Linked DNA regions of Danio rerio. The protein of the gene in region 1 interacts with the protein of each later gene in a pairwise test. Links are inferred from orthologs where the notes say so. Each region holds a gene or a part of one and is shown in the gene's direction. Other genes may lie near its edges.

Region 1 (3,830 bases):
ATCACGGTTTATCCATGATCTGTACGGATCACAACCCACAGTTCGGAATGCACACGGATTAATAACTTTTTTTGAACTTGTAGGTTAATCTAACATTTATAATAATTGCAGAGAGATCACCTCCCGCGTCATTCAAATCATGTGTATAAAAGGATTTTGGCGTGTCTGTAAAATATGATGACGGAAGAAATTGTGGTGGGACCTAAATGCTTTCTCCAGATATTAATTAAAGATGTTTTCTATCACTGCTTGTTTAGCCTGCAATAATCCATTCAGTGTAAAGCTGCACATTTAAACATTAAAAGATTGTGATCTCAGTTCAAACCCCCCCAGCATGAATTATAAATGATGGTGATTTGCATATATTTATTAATCCTTCGAAGTGCTACATTCAAATCTGCATTTGATTGAGAGAGATTCAGTTTTTACACTTTTTCAGTTAGTAACAAACAATTAAATAACACAGAAGTACTGGGATAACAGTTTATAGTTCAGAAATAAACACGGTAAAGGTTAAAATCGTTGTGTAACCAATGGGTGGCGAAAAACAACCATCAAAATGATGTCACTGAATAGTTTTTCAAAAATGTTTATAACCTATAATGAAAGATGAAGTTTTATATGTGAATTGTTGAACAATTAATTGAAAATAAATATGTTTTGTTGTTCAAGATCATTTTCGTACTGAATATTTTCCTTTTTTGCAGCGGGTTCTTTCTTGATATTTAAGTTCTGCGGTTAAACCAATGGTTTTTGCAGTAATATTTTTGTATAAATGGAAAGCAAATGACATTTGTCCAATCTCTTTTTTTCTGATTCGAAAAATGGTCTGATTCGTGACTCAATAACCATAGTGTGATCCGAACCAGGAGATTTGTGATGCGTTACACCACTACTAACGCCCTAAAAAACACATAAAAAAACTTACATATATTGTACGAATGGTATAACAAATTATCTTTGCCATTATAAAAACTGCCTCATGCCTACATTGAAGTGATGAGATGTCATGACTTTACATGATAAACCAATTTGATTACAAATGATAAATAATGACCTTTTTTGGAATATTTATGTTTTGATTGCCTCAATTTTCAATAACACAGAAACATCAATTCATTAAAAATAATTATCCTGATTTGGGCTAGTTGAGTTAAAAGGAAAGTTGTCTATTGCTATTAATAACTATTGCTATTTTTAATGTGGTCTATTCTACACCACTTGCATTGAAATGAAGATTTTCCCTCCTTCTCAGCACCATTTGAAAAAGCTTGAAGGACGCAGGCTGGATTATGACTATAAGAAGAAACGTCAGGGGAAAATTCCAGATGAAGAGCTCAGGCAAGCGCTGGAGAAGTTTCATGAATCTAAGGAGGTGGCTGAGATCAGCATGTACAACCTTCTGGAAACCGATGTAAGGATTTACCGTCTGACAGCTTGGTGCTTAAGTTGGTGTGTTTTTTGTGCTTTTGTGTTCCCTAGGGGTTGTGCTAATCCTATTAGAAGCGCTGATTAATTCAGTGTTTGTCTTTTAACACCTTGCCTTACTGATTTTGTATCTACTCAGCTATAGCTCTCAGTTAAGATATCTGTCAAAGGCTGTCACTTTAGAATGAGCAGTATTAAAAATGAATGTTTTTCTTTTATGTTTGACTAGTCCATCAGCGGGGTCACGACAGGTAATCCAATAAAACTGAAGAGCAGCCAAAAAAATCCTCTTTCTTCTAAGCTGTAGTGTTTATTGAATGTTTAAAGATGATAGAGCGCCATCTGTTGGAGAGCAATTTCATTCAAAGTCAACCCTGCCATAAAAATATATATAGTTTTCACCAAAAAAGTGAACCCCTTAATGGTTTTTCGTGTAGGCTTGTATTTTACAGCAGGGGTTCCCAAAATTTTCAGCCCGTGACCCATAAATAATAATTTCAGTAACTTGACCCCCACTAACCTCGGAGGTAGTGATAAACATACAAGCATTGCACACAATGTTGCACACACATACACACCAATAGGCTTATATAAACACTAGCATATTGACAACATAAAAAGTGCAACAATCTAACAATCATATTATTTTTTTGTTATTTATTCATTTGTTTAATTTAATGTTAACCTCATATAATGAGACTGGTGGGCACAATGTTTACTACACAACACTATTCTTGGTTTAATTATGGAGACACTTGAAGATTATGTTCTATTTTAAGTGGTGTAGATTTTATAATCTTTTTTTTTTTTAAACGTTTAATTTAAATGTACATTAGTGCCATAAGGGTGTCAAAGTTTAACATGGTGCTGTAAAATCAGTCTGCTGCAACTGACGCTATTAATATTAAATATTACAATAATGTTATCATCCCAGGGGTCGCAAAAATTGAAAGTATGTAACTAGTAAGTACTCTTTTTATCCTCTGTAGGTTATGGATAATCTATGGCAAATTTAATAGTACAATCAAGTTTGTTTAACTTTTTTAAATCACCAAGTGACCCACATTGTCCTACGACTTCCTAGGGGGTCCCGACCCCACTTTGGGAACCACTGTTTTACAGTACTGTAAAAATACTCAAAAATGTCTCTGTAAATTTGTCAAACAATTATGTTTGATTGACTAAAGTCACACAAGTGGCAATTTCACATCTGTCACATTCAAAACGGAGAGGTGTTGCATCCATAATGAAGCTATTTCCCTATAAATGCAAAAACATAACGTCAGTCATTTTTGTTTCATAGTAAGTAATCTCTTTTCCATTTGATTAGCATCATTTCTTTAGGGTTGTGCAGTTAAATTCACCGAATTTTAAAAAGTGTTTTGTATACTGTACATTTGCATACTTTTTGGTTACATCCATAACAGATGCTTCTTTTCCTTATTTAAAATCTAAAAAATGTTTACAGATTGATATTTTTCTGACCCCATAACTCTCTTGTGAGTTGTTTTGGAAAATATAAACAGTTGTTTCATTATAATATTAATATATACTTTCTGTGTGAATTTATGTTTTGACATTTTATTTCAAATTTCACATACATAGTCCATAATTGCTCTGGTGCAAAATGGCAAAAACTTAATGACAGAATAAACATTGTAAATTGAAGTTTATGGAGGTGCTATTTTGAACTCCAGTGATACATTTAAAGTAAAACACTGAAAATGATGGATGGTTTGGTTTTAAACCATAGAAAATATTTTTGTATTAAAAGCTAGTAGTGTAGATTTAGTAGTCTATAGTATATATGCAGAGTTAGTGTTTCTTCCCATACTGATAAACTTCTGGTGAACGGTTAATGTGACTTTTTATTTTAATTTTTTACTGTTCATTTCACAGCATTGATGTTGTAATATAATCAGTTAAATAGACTAAAGCATTTATTTAGTTGTTCAAGCGTAAACAAGATGAAAAGCCATTTACACGCACACGCCATTTAAAAAATGAAAAAATGAAATGAAATCTTTTTTTTAATTTTTCTTTTCAATTTTTCACCATGAAAAAGAAAAACACCTCGTATTTCAATTTTCGTCTTTAAATTTTAAAACGAAAATTAAAAAACGGTTAATTTTTCATTTTTCAATATCGGTTTCTAAAATGAAAATCCAATGTCCAAAAGATACACTGACCCACGGTGCAAAAACATTTATTTAATGCAGTGCCTCTTGTACATTCTGAGACCTACTTTATAACATATATCAATCAGGTAAAGATTGTATATTTAAAAAAAAAAACAGACCTTAAATGCGCCAATTTTGTAATAGTGTACAGTTCGCTGGAAGCACTTGACCCAGGTTACTGACAAATTAAAAGACCTTCCGCATACTTCTGCATAGACCCTA
Region 2 (4,361 bases), on another chromosome or scaffold:
GAGAAAAACTGTAACATGTCCCTGTAGTAACGCGTATAATCATATCATCAAGACACTACATCCGCAAAGCAACCAGGATTAAAAAATCTGACTCATCATTGCAGAAAGGTGTGAATTAACTTCACAACAAATGCATCAAATAATCATTGGAAAAGTTCTTACTGTAGTATTTCTTACAAACGTTACGTGAGATCTGCTTTCTTCATGTCAGTCACTGTGCTGTTTATCTGACGCAGCCAAGGTGGAGATTAACGCACACTCTAACAGGCATGTGGGAATGGTGGGCGGGGAGAACTAGCATTAAAGGCACAGGCAACAAAAACAGCTACATAGTGTTCAGAGCAGAAAATCCCAATAATCTGAATGGTATAATAAATAATCTGATGGGTGTTTTGAGCTGAAACTTTACAGATAACTGTGGAGATACAAAAGATGTATCTTAAATCTTGAAAAATGGGTATAATAGGTGCCCTTTAAAACTGAAAATAGCCATATCAGAGATGTTGGATGGTGCTCTTTTGACTCTGCCGACAAGCAACCATTCAGCAACACTAAAGAATGCATCAGGGCCAACCCAATTGCCAACACTGCTGGTTCTGGAAGAAATTTCCCCATTAATTTTCTCCCTACAAAATTTAAATAAAAAGTCTTTGTTAAGGGGCACAAAATAGAATTGGGATCAGACCATATACTACAGCCAATTTCGTTTATTCAATTTACCTATACCGCAAGAACTGTGGGGGAAACCGGAGCACCCAGAGGAAACCCAAGCGAACACGGAGAGGCAAACTCCACACAGAAACGCCAACTGACCCAGCCGGGACTCGAATTAGCAACCTTCTTGTTGTGAGGCGACAGTGCTAACCACTGAACCACCTATCACCACAAGTGCATTATAGTTACAAATATATAACAACTTTCTACTCGCACCCTCACAACCAACCACATTACCCTAGCAACCTTACAGCATTACAAAATATCAGCACTTGAATAAATCAAAGATGGACTCTTTGTTCTCTGAAAGCAAGTCCAACATGTCTGATGCTCGCCTCACAGTTTCATTAGACATTATGTAGTTATTTTTTTGCTCCTGCGTTCCATCACTTGTTTATATCTTTGTTTCAAACTCCTGTAAAAGCAACAGTTGTTTATTTCTTTCGTTCCGCCTCTAGCGGGTCCAAAGTAGTACAGCAGTGGTTCAGCCATTGGAAGTAGGCGGGGAAAGGCGAGTGATGCTGCCACACAGAGCCCCTTCCCCTCCCTCTCGCGCGCGCTCCAGCTCCGTGGCCCGACTCTGTGCTCTGCTCCGGAGTGAAGGATCCCGCTTTGTTGAGAAGGTGTTCCAAAACACGCGGGCGAATCCGAACGCGAACACGCACACCGGCCCGTGGAACGCGGCTTCATCAAAATATGTGCACTGTCTCTTTAAGATCCCTTCTCTGGTCCGCTTCGTATTGATCAATCCACCATTTTCCAGCGCACAGCACTGAGCGGCGGCGGCAGAGAGAGAAAGCCCTACCTGGAGACGCCAGGCAGGACCGGGGGCAGAGTCATGGCAGCCAACATGTACCGGGTCGGAGGTAAGAGATCATGGTTGGCTGAAAAAAATGTCGTGCCCCTTTTATGTGTGTCGCTCTCGTTCATGCTTTTTCGCAACAGGGCTTAGCAGTTTTAGGTTTGTCCTTCCTCTTTTATTTTTTAAAGTACTGTGGGACTACAGTGAGAGAGGAGGATGAGGATGGTGAATGCGAGATGAAGAGGGGCACTCTCTCGTTTCGGGACCCCGAGAATGTTTTACGCTACTACAAACTGGCGCAACATTTACTGCCGTTAGCATGATGTAGCGTGTGCAAGTGTCATTGAGTGTTAGTAACAAGCGGGCAACTCTCAAATTTACACCGAAGAAACGCGTTTGAGCTTTTAAAGTTAAAGTTTGAGGAGCACGCCTCACTTTAGGGACTCTGGCTGCTTGGAGAATTTAGTTAAAGTTGGTTGTAGATTTGCACTTTCGGACTTTCTCCTTAAAAATATAAATTCATAACAGTATTTGCAATTTCTAAATAGGCAAAACATTAGCAGCTATTGACTATCAAAGTACAACATTGCTCCCAGTCAATAAATAGTGCTAATATTGTTTGAAGTCATATTTCAGACCAGATATTTAAAGTATCATGGGAAACACTATATGAAGCATCTCACAAGTCCACTGAATATGTAAATATAAAACCTCATGTAAATATAAAAACGTCACCTCAGTAGTTAGAAACACTGTTTTGAAGGTAGATGATGGTTGATGTTCAAACCGTTGACTTTAAAATTAATGTAAAGTTTTTAAAATATTTCTACATTCAGACTTTATCTTTAATAATATGATTTCAGAAAAATATTAATTGCAAATTCTAAATAGTGAAATTATATTAGCAGCCAAAGACTATCAAAGTACAACATTGCTCACAGTCAATTAGATAGTGCTAATGTTGTTTTAAAGTCATGCCTACGTGTGATTTCAGCCGGAATATTCAAAGTACCATGGTAAACAATGTATGGAGATGTCACTGAATGAATGTGCGAATATAAAACCAACTTTACCTCAGTATTTTAAAGTATATTTTATGTAATATGAACAGAGAAAGTTTTGGCATATAGAGGTAAAGCTAATACTTGAAGTCCGTCTCAGTGAGAAGCTGTGGTGTATGAAAAAATACCAAATATAGACTATATAACGCTTGGTGTTAAAGAATAAACTTATTTGGGATGTGTTTTTACAAATTTGTCAAAACACACTGCTTTTTTCCACCCCTAATTTGGGTCACACATAAAAATTGTTCACAATTATGTGTAATTATCTGAAGCTCAGATACACAGTTAAAGGAATAGCCTAGTTAACCCCAAAATGTGCCCACTGTTCCACGGAACACAAAAGGAGATGTTAGGCAGAATGACAGCCTCAGTCACTGTTCGCTTTCATTGCTTCTTCCATACAATGAAAAGCGAATGGTTACCGAGGCTGTCATTGTGCCTAACATCTCCTTTTGTGTTCAGTGGAAGAAAGAAAGTCATACAGGTTTGAAACAACATGTGTGTGACTGAACGACGTCAGTAGTTTTGCGCAGTTTTCGGGTTATCCTGATTGCGCTTGGCTCAGGAACTGATTCTCTGTTGGTATCAATTATCCATTAGGATCTCTGCTGTTGATTTTCAGGCAATGAATGTGTGCTTACAGTGTCCGGTGTGTAATTATTGGTTTAATGAGAGTATTTGGACTAGAAAGTTTGCTGTTGATGTAGGAGAGCTGCTTGAACATGAAGACAATATGAACTTTTATCAGGAGCATTATGAGTGAATTTACATATGTTCTAATGCGTTATAATTCTTAGTGCTCTGCATAGATGTGACTAGTGTTTGTGAATCAAGTATATGGTATTCAGATTAGGGCTGTACGATATTGGAAAAATCTGACATTGCAATATATATTGTGATTTACTTCGTTATACTTGAAAAGAATTAGGGTCCACTTTATTTTAAGGTTCAGTTCTTGTTCTTTGCAAACCCTTTTGACTTTTGCTTTAATAAACTCCTTACTAATAGTTATTAAGGTAGTTTAGGTGTTGGGTAGAATAATATCATTCAGAAGATGTGCTTTGTAAGAACTAATGTGCAGCCAGTATCTCAATACCATGCATGCTAATAAGCAACTACTGGTAGTTAATAGTGAGAATTGGTCCCTAAAGTGTTACCTAATGTATTCATTTTGATTGACTGGGATGATTCTGTAGGCGACTGAATCAGAACATACAATAAACAAACTACAAGCAGAGATAAATGCAACAAAAGAATGATTAAAGTGAAATAAACAGTGCATACATTATGGTTTTGTATATGTAAATGTAAAAATTACACTGCAAAGTCAACTCAACATTGCATATCTTTGAGATGTGACTATTGTGGATGCACACATTGCGATATCGTTCCTAAAATGATGTATTGTGCAGCACTAATTGATATGTTTTTTATTTTTTATTTTTTTTTAAAGCGCTCTTGATATATCTGCTATATTTATGAAAAGGTGCAATGTGGATGCATGCAGTATATCCATCCCAAAAGCTAATGATACAGATGAACTGGTATAAATGGTGGAATTTATTTTGAAGGGTTTAAGGCATAGTTGACCAAAAAATCTATATTTACTCACTCTCAAGTGGTTCCATTCTTTTATGAGTTTCTTTTTTCAAAACGAATATTTAGAAAAATGTTAGAAACCTGCAATCTTTGAATTCTATAATAGGGAAAACATCCTTTTGAAGTCAACAAATACAAAAAAGAAAAACAGGTTTGACAAGTGTATGGGTGAGTAAACGATG

Evidence for each region.
Region 2: the proteins of sh3gl1b (region 1) and mta1 interact in binary tests that used the Homo sapiens proteins (3 or more experiments, as listed by UniProt). The two-hybrid records come from large-scale screens. The link is inferred for Danio rerio from reciprocal best matches to the Homo sapiens genes SH3GL1 and MTA1.

The regions. Positions count from the first base shown.
Region 1 is NC_133183.1:20,717,422-20,721,251, reverse strand, and holds part of sh3gl1b (SH3-domain GRB2-like 1b), read left to right. Parts: intron 1-1,255; coding exon 1,256-1,414; intron 1,415-3,830. UniProt on the Homo sapiens protein: Implicated in endocytosis. May recruit other proteins to membranes with high curvature.
Region 2 is NC_133192.1:39,376,956-39,381,316, forward strand, and holds the start of mta1 (metastasis-associated protein MTA1), read left to right. Parts: upstream 1-1,261; 5' UTR 1,262-1,552; coding exon 1,553-1,580; intron 1,581-4,361. UniProt on the Homo sapiens protein: Transcriptional coregulator which can act as both a transcriptional corepressor and coactivator. Acts as a component of the histone deacetylase NuRD complex which participates in the remodeling of chromatin.